Coturnix japonica: one gene and its partners. The protein of the gene in region 3 purifies or fractionates together with the protein of the main gene of each other region. This does not show direct contact. Links are inferred from orthologs where the notes say so. Each region holds a gene or a part of one and is shown on either strand. Other genes may lie near its edges.

Region 1 (3,655 bases), on a different chromosome or scaffold from region 3:
TCTACAGCACGTAATGCTGGGTGAGACAGAACTGAGACCTGGGAAAGAATGGCGATTAATTTCTACTGCAAACAATTTTCTTAAAATACATCCTGATTATTAGACAGAAACTTTTTTAAACAATCAAATTAATTTGTGTCACTCATCTGGAAAACAACTTCTGTTAATGTCTGTACTCAAATATGCTGATGGAGTTATCCAGTGGATGTTAGATACTAACCTACAGTTATTACAGCCTTATGAAATTGATATCCAAAATGTATTTCAGTACATTGAGGTATTAATGATCAATGACTCAGTTAAACAGACACCAGTAGCACGACAGTTATGACAAGCTACTCCATACTCAGGGGTGTAAGCTATTCAGAAATATGAACATATTTCCCTCATCTATTTTGCCAGAAGTTACACTGACAATTACAGAAATGGTTTTAGAAGACCAAATAGTCTTCATTTGCTTCACTTGACGTAGATGAAATAGAACTGCCTTCCAAGAAGTAACAACTGAATTTTGCTTCTGGGTCTACAATCTGCCTGATGCCTATCTTGATTATTAAGCTGCCTTTCTATGAGAAATACTTAAACAGAGGACAGCAAAAAAGCTGTTTAAAGGCTAGAGGACGTGTTCAGTCAGAAGTGGATGAGGACGCTGAATTTGTTAAGCCTGAAGAAAGAAGGTTGAGGGGTCACCTCACTGCCCTCTGCAACTTCCAGAGATTGGCAGGTGGAGAGGAGCTCATCCAGCATCAGGACTGACGGGAATGCCTTAAAGCTGCACTAAAAATTAGAAAGAGGTTTTTAGACATGGGAACAGGCTTCCTAGAGAGGTGGCTGCTGCCCCATGGCTGCCCATACTTAAGAAACACTTCAGTAACACTCTTAGTGTGTTTTAACTTTGGATTGGCCCCAAAGTATCCCTGACAGTTGGACTTGGAGATTTTAGTAGGTGTTTTCCAACCGAAACTATTCTGTTCCATAAAGGCTATGACAGCATGACTGAGCGGTGAAAACATGGTCATAGAAAACACAGCTACAGGTGTATTCATTTTCTTTTAAATTCAGAGGAGAATTGAAGTTTGGATGGACTCATTTTCTGAAATGCTTTAGAAGCTCTCCATATTGTCACAGTACAATATTTGGCTGACCATGTCAGCAGCTGAAGCTGCTTACCTTTGACACAGACTTTATCTGGTCTTTTTTTATGCTGAATTGGAATTTGATCGAATTAAACTTTCTTTTTATTTTTTTTTTTTTTTTTTTTTTTTTTCTTCTTTCTTTTCCTTTGCATTACCTTCTAGACTACTTTATTAGCAATAAAGCATGAATAGGGCAGAACAGGAAGGAGCAAAGGAAAAAGCCAAAATAACAGTGAGTAATATAACCAGCTTAATCATAGTATCATAGTCTCGTGTGGGTTGGAAGGGACGTTAGAGTTTAGCCTTTTCTTGAAGTCATTTTTTTTTTCTAAGACTTCTTTCTTAATGAAGATCTTTACAAGATTCTCATTCATAAAAAAACCAAACAAATGATTTTTTATTGCTGTTTGAAAAGTAAGTGTATTTTACACCCCAGGGAGATCTCCCTGCTGAACAGCACCTTGGGGGAGCTTCACTCCCAACTGTTTGGGTGCCATATCCCTTATTTTATCTAGGAAGACTAACTTCTCCATCTGAGTACTTCAGCTAAATGCTTGAATTTAGGCAGCCTAAACTTTGAGTAAACAACTCAACCGTTAGCAAATAATCAGTATGGTTCTCTTGGCAAAATGCCATTATCCTTGTGTCAAAGAAATTCTTTATGTTCCTTCTATGCCAAAATGTTTCCCCTATAGGCTTATGCACAATACAACTTTCCAGGAAGAAAACAAACACAATGAAGTCCACCTGCCCATGAAAAAAATAAATAAATAGATCAGGAAAAAAACAAACAAACAAACAAAAAAAAAAACCCAGACATTTAAGGCAGATATTAAGACTAACATTTACTAGGATTTCCAAACAAGCTCTTTTCTTATCCAAAACAGTGAGTAATCTATCATAACCTGTCAAATAGGTTTTACCTTTCTTTTCATTTGTTGTTTTATCATCATTTTCTTCTAAAATTTCTTCCTCTTCTGGTACAAATTTGAATGGTTTGTAGGAAATAATCATTAGACCATCTCCACTTGGTTCTACTGCTGCATAGTGAGGGACTGATTTTCCTTGTAAAACTCTCCTTTTGCTGATTTCATACCTATGTTCATCTATAAAATGAAGAAAAAAATAAGAACCTCATTACACTTAAAAATGCTAAGCAATCCTACAAATTAAATAACAGTAGCTTAGAAGGAAATCTCTTTTTCAGTGACTTTATTATACATGTAGGTCCCAAATTAATTTAACACTGTCCTTTTTTCTTACGATGTCTTCTTTAATTACAGCTAGCTCAGCAATTCACAAAACTTCTCCGTAGAAACAGGCCTTCCAAATATTTTTAGAGCTGATATGAGAGCTTGAGAAACAACAACATAGCTTCTGATAACACTTCACCCATAGTGGAAAATGCCTGCTTTCACTTTTGAAGATCTGTGTTTTACAAAAGCTGAAAGGTCCTAGTTGTCAGCTATTGACATCAAGGACTGTGCCTTATCCTACTGTGCTCCCAAACATATGAGTACCGATGACTTAAAACATGGTGAAGTGAGAGGTTCTGGAGTTTGCTGTCCTTTAATTAAAACCTAACTGGACTTGAAGCCCTCAGTATTTGATCAACTTTTTATAACAACAGATTGTACAAAAAGATTTTTAGCAGTTAACTATCAACATGATAAAATTCTGACAGGCGATAATATTATCTCTAATAATTGTTTGACTTTTCACACATATCTTTAATCTCTTTACTAAAAGAATTTGCTCTACTTGTGAGTACAACTTTACTTGTAACAGAAAAAACAACAACTCAATACCAGGAATTTATTAGCAGAGACACTAAACAAGACAAGATCATGATGGTAAAATTCTTCTATACCACTCTAGTACTCCAAAGTGTCGTGGTTCACCTCAGTGTTTATGTCACAGTGCAATACAGACAACAATGGATAAACCATTGTTTAAAATTTGGGTGCCCTTAACAAGTTATCTTACATGCTAAAAATTAGTTTAGAAATAGAGAAAGGAGCAAGAACCAGTCTACAGTGTAATTCTGGTCCTTGTTCAGTTCTGCTTCTGGTTCAGTTAAAGTCCTGTCCACTTTTCTAAGTATAAGCACTTCTATTAGTAGAATAAGTATAGCCATTCTAATCCAAGACAGAGCAAGATTTCATCTATACAATTATTAGACTCCAGATGGGGAACCTGCATCAACAGATGACCTCAGATTAGATGGATGACCAAATCAAGTATGACTACATTGTACTGGGAAATTAAATTCTTATACAATGTTTTGAAAAGTACGAGAGATATTAATTAGAAATAGTTTTCAACTTAGATTTTAATAGACAGAGCTAAATGGGAATTTATTATTCATCCCATAATGTCGTATTATTCCTAGCTTGTTTTCTAATCGCCTTAACTATACACATGCAGAAATTGACTCCTTCCTGTCCTCCAAATGTTTGTCATACTGCAGGTCTACAAGTGAGAACTTGAATTTAAAGTGTGATGAGGGTTTTGTTGGG
Region 2 (2,998 bases), on a different chromosome or scaffold from region 3:
AGTATTATAATAAATTTCAAAAGATGGTATCCTTGTAAAGCATTTATTTTGCAACCATCTTTGATTCACTAGAACTGGTATTCCAAAGGAAGCCAGAAGTTAAAAACCAAAACAAAAAAACCAACCACTAATGCCATTTTCCTTCAGATTTAATTCTTCTTCTTTTTTTAACTTCTATTAAGTCAAATAAGTCATTAAATTGGTATTCCTAAATCATCCACCTTCCATTTTGATGAGTTAGTCTACCACCATTGCTAAGAAATTTCCAAGTCTCTTTGAAATACTAATTTCATGTTTATAGGTATCTATTTTTTTAACTCCATCCTATTTTCCCTGAATTTTTTTTTTTTTTTGCAGGACATCTGCTGATGTAAAATTTCATATAAAATATTTAGTCACAAAATAGTATTGCTTTTTTATGCACACTGCGGTAAGATTAAGGATTTTTTATCCAATAAAAACTATACCATCTTCCGTAAAATCCTAAACACATTAAGAACTGTGATGCAGAACAAAATTCCACAGGGTGAAACAGGTACCAGCACAACAGTGAGATTATATTACATCAAAAAATTTTAATGGTCCCAAATATATACTCAACAACTAAGCATACACTCAGGGGGTCAAAAAAAATTATGACACAAAAGTGACCACATCTAGAATTCCACTCAATCTTTAATCAGAAAGGGACAAACAAATCCCCCACCTCCAAAAAAAAAATAAAATCTGCAGTTTAAAGGGCAAAGGGAACAGATTTTAAAAAAAAAAAAAAAAAAAAAAAAAAAAAAAAAAAAAAAAAAAAAAAAACAGGAAAAAAAGGAAACTTGATATTCAGCCCCTCCCCCACAGAGGTTTTTAAAACCTGTTGTAGCTTGACTAAAATGTTCAGAATGTACGATTTTCAAAGGCAGGTCTCTTTTATACAAAGAAACTGCTGGCATTCTTAACTAGTGAAGAATTATGGCAAAAACCGCCTTTTCTTCAGAAGTCTCATGTATGGTCCAAGAAAGCATACTCTGATTGTAGCAACTGACCAGCCAATCCAGAGTTCCACTAACAAAACTCCTGCCCTGTTGGCTTTTTTGTTTTTGTTTTCCATTTCCTTCCCTGAGAAAAGGGCAACACGTGGTCCAAGCTGGAGAGCTCAAAGGCGTAAGTCTTTCCCCTAAACGAAGTATTTCCCCTTCTTCTGCTCCTTTCAATTGGCACTTGATTGGCAGAAATCCATTTGTATAGGTTGGTCTGTGTTACACACAGTAATTCACAAAAGATTGCTGCTTTGTTGTGGGTTTGTTTTCTATGGAAAAAATATCCTTCCCCCAAATGGTAATGTTCTTCAGCAGTTGCCATTATGATGACTCAAGCTTTGCTTTCTTTGACAAAGGTAAAGTTTCCTCCTTATCTTCATCTTCATCATCCTCTTCATCATCATCAGGATAATCCACAAGCCCAACGAGGCCTCCCTACAAAGACAGGCACAGCTACTTTAATTAAGAAAATAGTTTGCACTTCATGTTTCTATTAGAAAATGACTTTTGCACAACATTTTGCCGTAAGGATATCGATTAATCACGTTCTGGATATAATCGAGCAGAACAAAAGGTATGAATGGAGATTATATTGTCTGAAAAATATTTAAATGAATAAAGACAAAATGGGGTTTTAAGTACCCCACTGGGTAGAGATACAGCAGAAAGAAAATCCCAAAATCTACTTCGTTTTGCTAAATATACACCACAGCTCAGTCTGTAAAAGTGCAAATTTCTCCCACCGAGCAGAGCTGACTGCAGCACCAAGCAATCTGGAAGCACTTCAGAAATAAATACAGAACACCCTGAGTTTGAATTTCCAACTGGGACACTTTTATAGCAACAGTCTGTCTTCACAAAAGCCAGTTTAAGTGTTCAGCAATTAAATTTAAATTCTCTTGTTCTGCATATAACCACAAATCCGGGATTAGAACCCACAAAGAGGTGACACCATCTTTAAAAACTTTAACTACTGTACGTCACAATTTCTGAAGCTTAACAAGGACTTAACTATGATGACAGATGCTGGTTCTTTACTTAAGGATCATGTTATTTAAACAGATGATGGGCACTTAAAATAGAAAATTTCAGCTAACTGTTCAGTACCAAGATGCATGCATTAAATTGTACTTCTATTAAATTGCACACATTTTGTACCATCACATGTAGCACAACACTGAATATACAAGAGGATCAAACAGTTATTGAAGTACTTAATTACAACGTTTCTAGTTTGTGAATGCAGCACCTTTATAAGCAATGCATGTTACACTGAAAAAAAAAAGGAATTAATGCTTGAATTTATTAGTTTTTTCAGTGCACTGCATATTCAGTGTAGTCTGAACATTCCTTGTTCTATCATCATTGAAAATGTGAAGTTAATAGTGAATGCATATATTCCATATGTAAAGACTCCATTCCATACTTAAAGAATTGTACCACCTGAGAGACATGGTACAAAAATTATGTATTTGGGCATAAACAGAGCTTTTATTTTTTCTTTTTATATATAGGAGATCTGGAAAATACTAAACATTAGACAAAAAGCATGCACAAACCATACAGTCCACAACTGCTTAGTATGTCAGAATCCCCACCAACTTCAGAAACATGCTAAAGAAAATTCCCAGTCTATAACAATGAAGTCAGACTACTTCTGTTGAAAATTACCTTAGTTGTAATAGCTGCCATCTGAGATGTGCTTTTAGAAACGGACCCCGGAGACCCAGGGGATCCTGGAGATCCGGGAGAACCTGGGGATCCAGGCAGATTACTTGCAGATGACTGACTGCTAAGATTAGATTTTGTCCCGCTGGAAAAGGAAAGCTTGAAACTTGGGCTCTGACGACCTGAAAGGTTTGTTTTCAGAAGAACTTCCTTTTCTTCACTCTCTTTTACTGCACAGGAAACACGAAAACAAAAACCAATGCAACATTATTGAACAAATAATGACATATCATTTTTCTGTG
Region 3 (3,655 bases):
AACCCTTACAATCCCTTCACAACACAAACTCTCTCTACTACATTGACCATACCTTGCTGAAAAGAATATCAACAGGAAAGGTGCGCCCAGGAATGTGGAAAATGGGAACATTCCCAAAAAAAGAGGCAAATTTATCAGCATCCATGGTGGCAGAGGTGACAACGAGCTTCAGATCAGAGCGACGTGCTACCACCTAGAAAACAGATAAAAAGGACAATAAACAAGTGGTATTTGTATGTGGGTCCAGGCTTCTTCCATCACTACTGAAAAAAACAGCAAAGGGCTGAGCTTCCACTGTACTCTAGAAACACTAACCACTAATGCCATGGTACGAAAACACACACTGTCCAGTTAAAAAGACAGGCTGTCCCCAGCTGAGAAAGTCTTACACCTGCAAACACCTCTGTAACTAGAGCTACTTTATACCAGCAAGCCTTTGGCAGTACACTAAAGGGGAGATTTAAGAAACAAAGAACAAGATGTTTAAGCATCAAGTGCAGTCAGAGATGCAGCAGTCTCTGTTCATGATCTCTGCTCTGACCTGGGGGAGAAGCACTAACCCTGCCAATATTCTGCCCTAAGACCAGCTCATATGCCCCGTGTTGCTGTCCTCCTGTAGCCCAGGCTCACACACACCTCCCGAAGCAGGCCAAAGAGCACATCAGTATTGAGCGAGCGCTCGTGTGCCTCATCCATGATGATAGCACTGTAGTTGTCCAAGTCAGCCTCTCTCAGCGACTCACGAAGGAGGATCCCATCTGTCATGTATTTGATTATCGTGCTCTCTGACGTGCAGTCTTCAAAGCGGATGGCATAACCCACCTGGGGGGCAGAGATATCAGCAAGTCTTCAACAGCTCTGCATATGCACTGTCTAGAGGCTGCATGCCTACATATGCTGCCAGACTCACCTCCTCTCCCAGACGCACTCCCATCTCTTCACTGACCCGCTTGGCAACCGACATGGCTGCCACTCTGCGGGGCTGCGTGCAGCCAATCATGCCATAGTCTGTGTAGCCATCCTCATGGAGGTACTGCGTCAGCTGAGTTGTTTTACCGCTCCCTGTCTCCCCTACCACAATCACAATGCTGTTGTCCCTGAAGAAAGGGGAACAATATTTATTCATACACCACAAAGACAGCCTTCTTCATTCATAGCCCTGGCTGGCCACACAAAAGCAGTCCTGCTTTGGCAGAAGAGCTGCTATCAATCACACAAAGCAATGAGCTTTGTTTTCAAAGATTCCAAACAGAACACATATCTAGGTAAATTTCTCACTTGGGATCCTGAAATGTAAGCCAAAGCCCCAGGGTTACACTACAACTGGTTACCGAGCAGTCATACCTGAGGATGGAAAGCAGCTCCTGCTGCACAGCAAAGATGGGCAGATATTGTCTCTGCTCCAGAATCGACTTCTTCTTGGCAAACTCACTCCTTGCTTCACTTTTTTCTTTCATGTGTTCAGCAAACTTCTGCTCTGTCCTAAGGAAACATGAGAAGTCTTGAAGCTGTCTCCTCACACACTTTGCTTTGCCTGTAGCATAGGCATAACACCACCAGCTAGGCAGAAATCATCCAAAAGCTCCTACTTGTAATCTACTTTGCCATCTTCTGTCACCATCTCATCCTTCTCCTCTTCCTTCTTGATCCCCATAATGTCTCCCAGTTTTGTGCCTGCCAGCTCCCAGTGTTTATGCTGAGCCTGGAAGCACAAAGAGCAGTGTAAGTACCACAGCGGGGACTGAAAAATCATTCTCCTTCTGTCCTACTCCTAAGGCTAGAAAATCATGTTTGCCTCAATCCCCTGGTGCTTAAGGAGAGAACACACATTTCCTATATCAAGTCTCCATCCTCCAAGCAAACTGGGGCAGAACTTTTTTAGACACTGGTTTGGATAAAGACACAACAAGCACAGGATGATCAACAGCCCTCTATGAATACTGTTTCAGCTGCTGACCCTTCCATTATATTTACACTTAAACAAACAACAATCTGAACCAGAGCTAATCTTCCTACTATTAACAGGTATCGACAGGTACTCTCACCATTCTGTTTTCTCTCACGCTTCATAACAGGACTTCCCACTTTCCACTCACAGTACACCAGCTCAGATTCAGTTTACTATGAACACATCTATGCTTTCCTAACTGCTATCATGTAAGCTTTAGAGAAAGTCTTTCTATTAGGGAAACATCCACAAAGACTAATACACCACCTTCCTGTATATTCTTTCTCAAAAATCTTTTGCTGAGACATGGTGAGATCTGTCCTGCTACCACACTGAATGTTGACTGTGCCTGAGCTACACGGTATTCTTCCACTTGCTCTTCTCTCCCCATCCAAATGCCCTTTGGATCACACTCCCCAGCACAAATGCACAGTAATTAACATCCCAGGCAGTGCCTAAAGAAGTCACAACAGCTACTCGTGAGACAATGCAATGAACTGGACTAACAGGATATGTCAGATCACACAAATAAGGGGAACACATTACCATTACCATCAAAGCTTATATTCTACAAAGTCCAAACAAAAGCTGTGAGGCATTACATAACACGTACAGTGAGGTCTCAACATACCCTTTTACGCTCCTTTTGCTCCCTGTGCTTGCGCACCAACTGGCTGCCCTTTCGGGCTATGATGGCCAAGTCAGAAGTGGCATCCTTTACAGGGATGACTGGCTCTGGCTAAAGGAAAGAGGCATTGCTTCAACACAGAGAGCTCACATTTGTGAGGCTCCCCATCATTGGCACCGTTAGCCACAGCTTCTACCTGTTTTGTGAAGACTATCCTCCCATCTAGGAAAGGAGGCACCAGGTTATGCACCAGCAGATGCACTTTGGCTGAGTTATCCTCTTCAAAATCTTCATCCACTTCAATCCGATGAACCACACCACTGGTCAGCATGCGATTTGTCTCCCAACGCTCGTTATCCTGCAGGAAAGAACATATCAGAAGATTTTAACTATTACCTTCCATTATCCAAAATTCAAGAACCACACATTACCCAAACTAATTCCAAGGCAATAAACTAAGTAACACAGCTAGCTGCAAAGCACTACAACACCATGAGCAAATGAGGATGGCTTCATTTATTCTTAAAAGAAAAAGTTAAAAGCAGTTAACTACTGAAGGCAAATCTGTAACTGACTACAATACACACCACAGTTACAGTACACAGCTTTAAGCACTGAAATGATCCAATGCTGAATCTGTTGGTCTTCCTTCCCCAAAAGGGAAAGAGCTTGGAGACCCAAAGACAAAAATAAGTAAGCCTGGAATGTGGAGGAGTAACACTGAAGGTTACAGAGACCACAAATAAGCATTAGGAAAAGAACACTATCTGAAGACAAGTATGGTAAATGGAGACTAGCCACATAAAGTACGGAGTAAACAGAATTGTCTCAAAGGAAATGGAAGGCAAACAATCTACAACGCCCCTACCATACACTGAATACGTTAGAAAGCCTGGAGACAAACCTACTTTTATGCTGAGGGAAGCAGCTCTGAGAGTCCGCCAGAGGAACAGCAGACAGTCTTAACAATGTAATCTATGCCCCCTGCATAGCATAGCCCTTCAGATTCCTGCAGCTCTGAACACTCATCCACTGCAGTCACTCTAATGGTAAATTCCAACCCATGCAGGAGATGCAGG

What was found.
Region 1: the proteins of DHX38 (region 3) and NUDCD1 purify together in Homo sapiens (co-immunoprecipitation; 3 studies listed by BioGRID and IntAct, with this or other methods). This does not show direct contact. The link is inferred for Coturnix japonica from reciprocal best matches to the Homo sapiens genes DHX38 and NUDCD1.
Region 2: the proteins of DHX38 (region 3) and PPP4R3A purify together in Homo sapiens (co-immunoprecipitation; 3 studies listed by BioGRID and IntAct, with this or other methods). This does not show direct contact. The link is inferred for Coturnix japonica from reciprocal best matches to the Homo sapiens genes DHX38 and PPP4R3A.

What each region holds. Positions count from the first base shown.
Region 1 is NC_029517.1:119,470,119-119,473,773, forward strand, and holds part of NUDCD1 (nudC domain-containing protein 1), read right to left. Parts: intron 2,243-3,655; coding exon 2,060-2,242; intron 1-2,059.
Region 2 is NC_029520.1:40,221,154-40,224,151, forward strand, and holds the end of PPP4R3A (serine/threonine-protein phosphatase 4 regulatory subunit 3A), read right to left. Parts: intron 2,927-2,998; coding exon 2,700-2,926; intron 1,464-2,699; coding exon 1,350-1,463; 3' UTR 561-1,349; downstream 1-560. UniProt on the Homo sapiens protein: Regulatory subunit of serine/threonine-protein phosphatase 4. May regulate the activity of PPP4C at centrosomal microtubule organizing centers.
Region 3 is NC_029526.1:17,617,867-17,621,521, forward strand, and holds part of DHX38 (pre-mRNA-splicing factor ATP-dependent RNA helicase PRP16), read right to left. Parts: intron 2,935-3,655; coding exon 2,773-2,934; intron 2,688-2,772; coding exon 2,580-2,687; intron 1,703-2,579; coding exon 1,590-1,702; intron 1,483-1,589; coding exon 1,345-1,482; intron 1,098-1,344; coding exon 911-1,097; intron 823-910; coding exon 637-822; intron 194-636; coding exon 53-193; intron 1-52. UniProt on the Homo sapiens protein: Probable ATP-binding RNA helicase. Involved in pre-mRNA splicing as component of the spliceosome.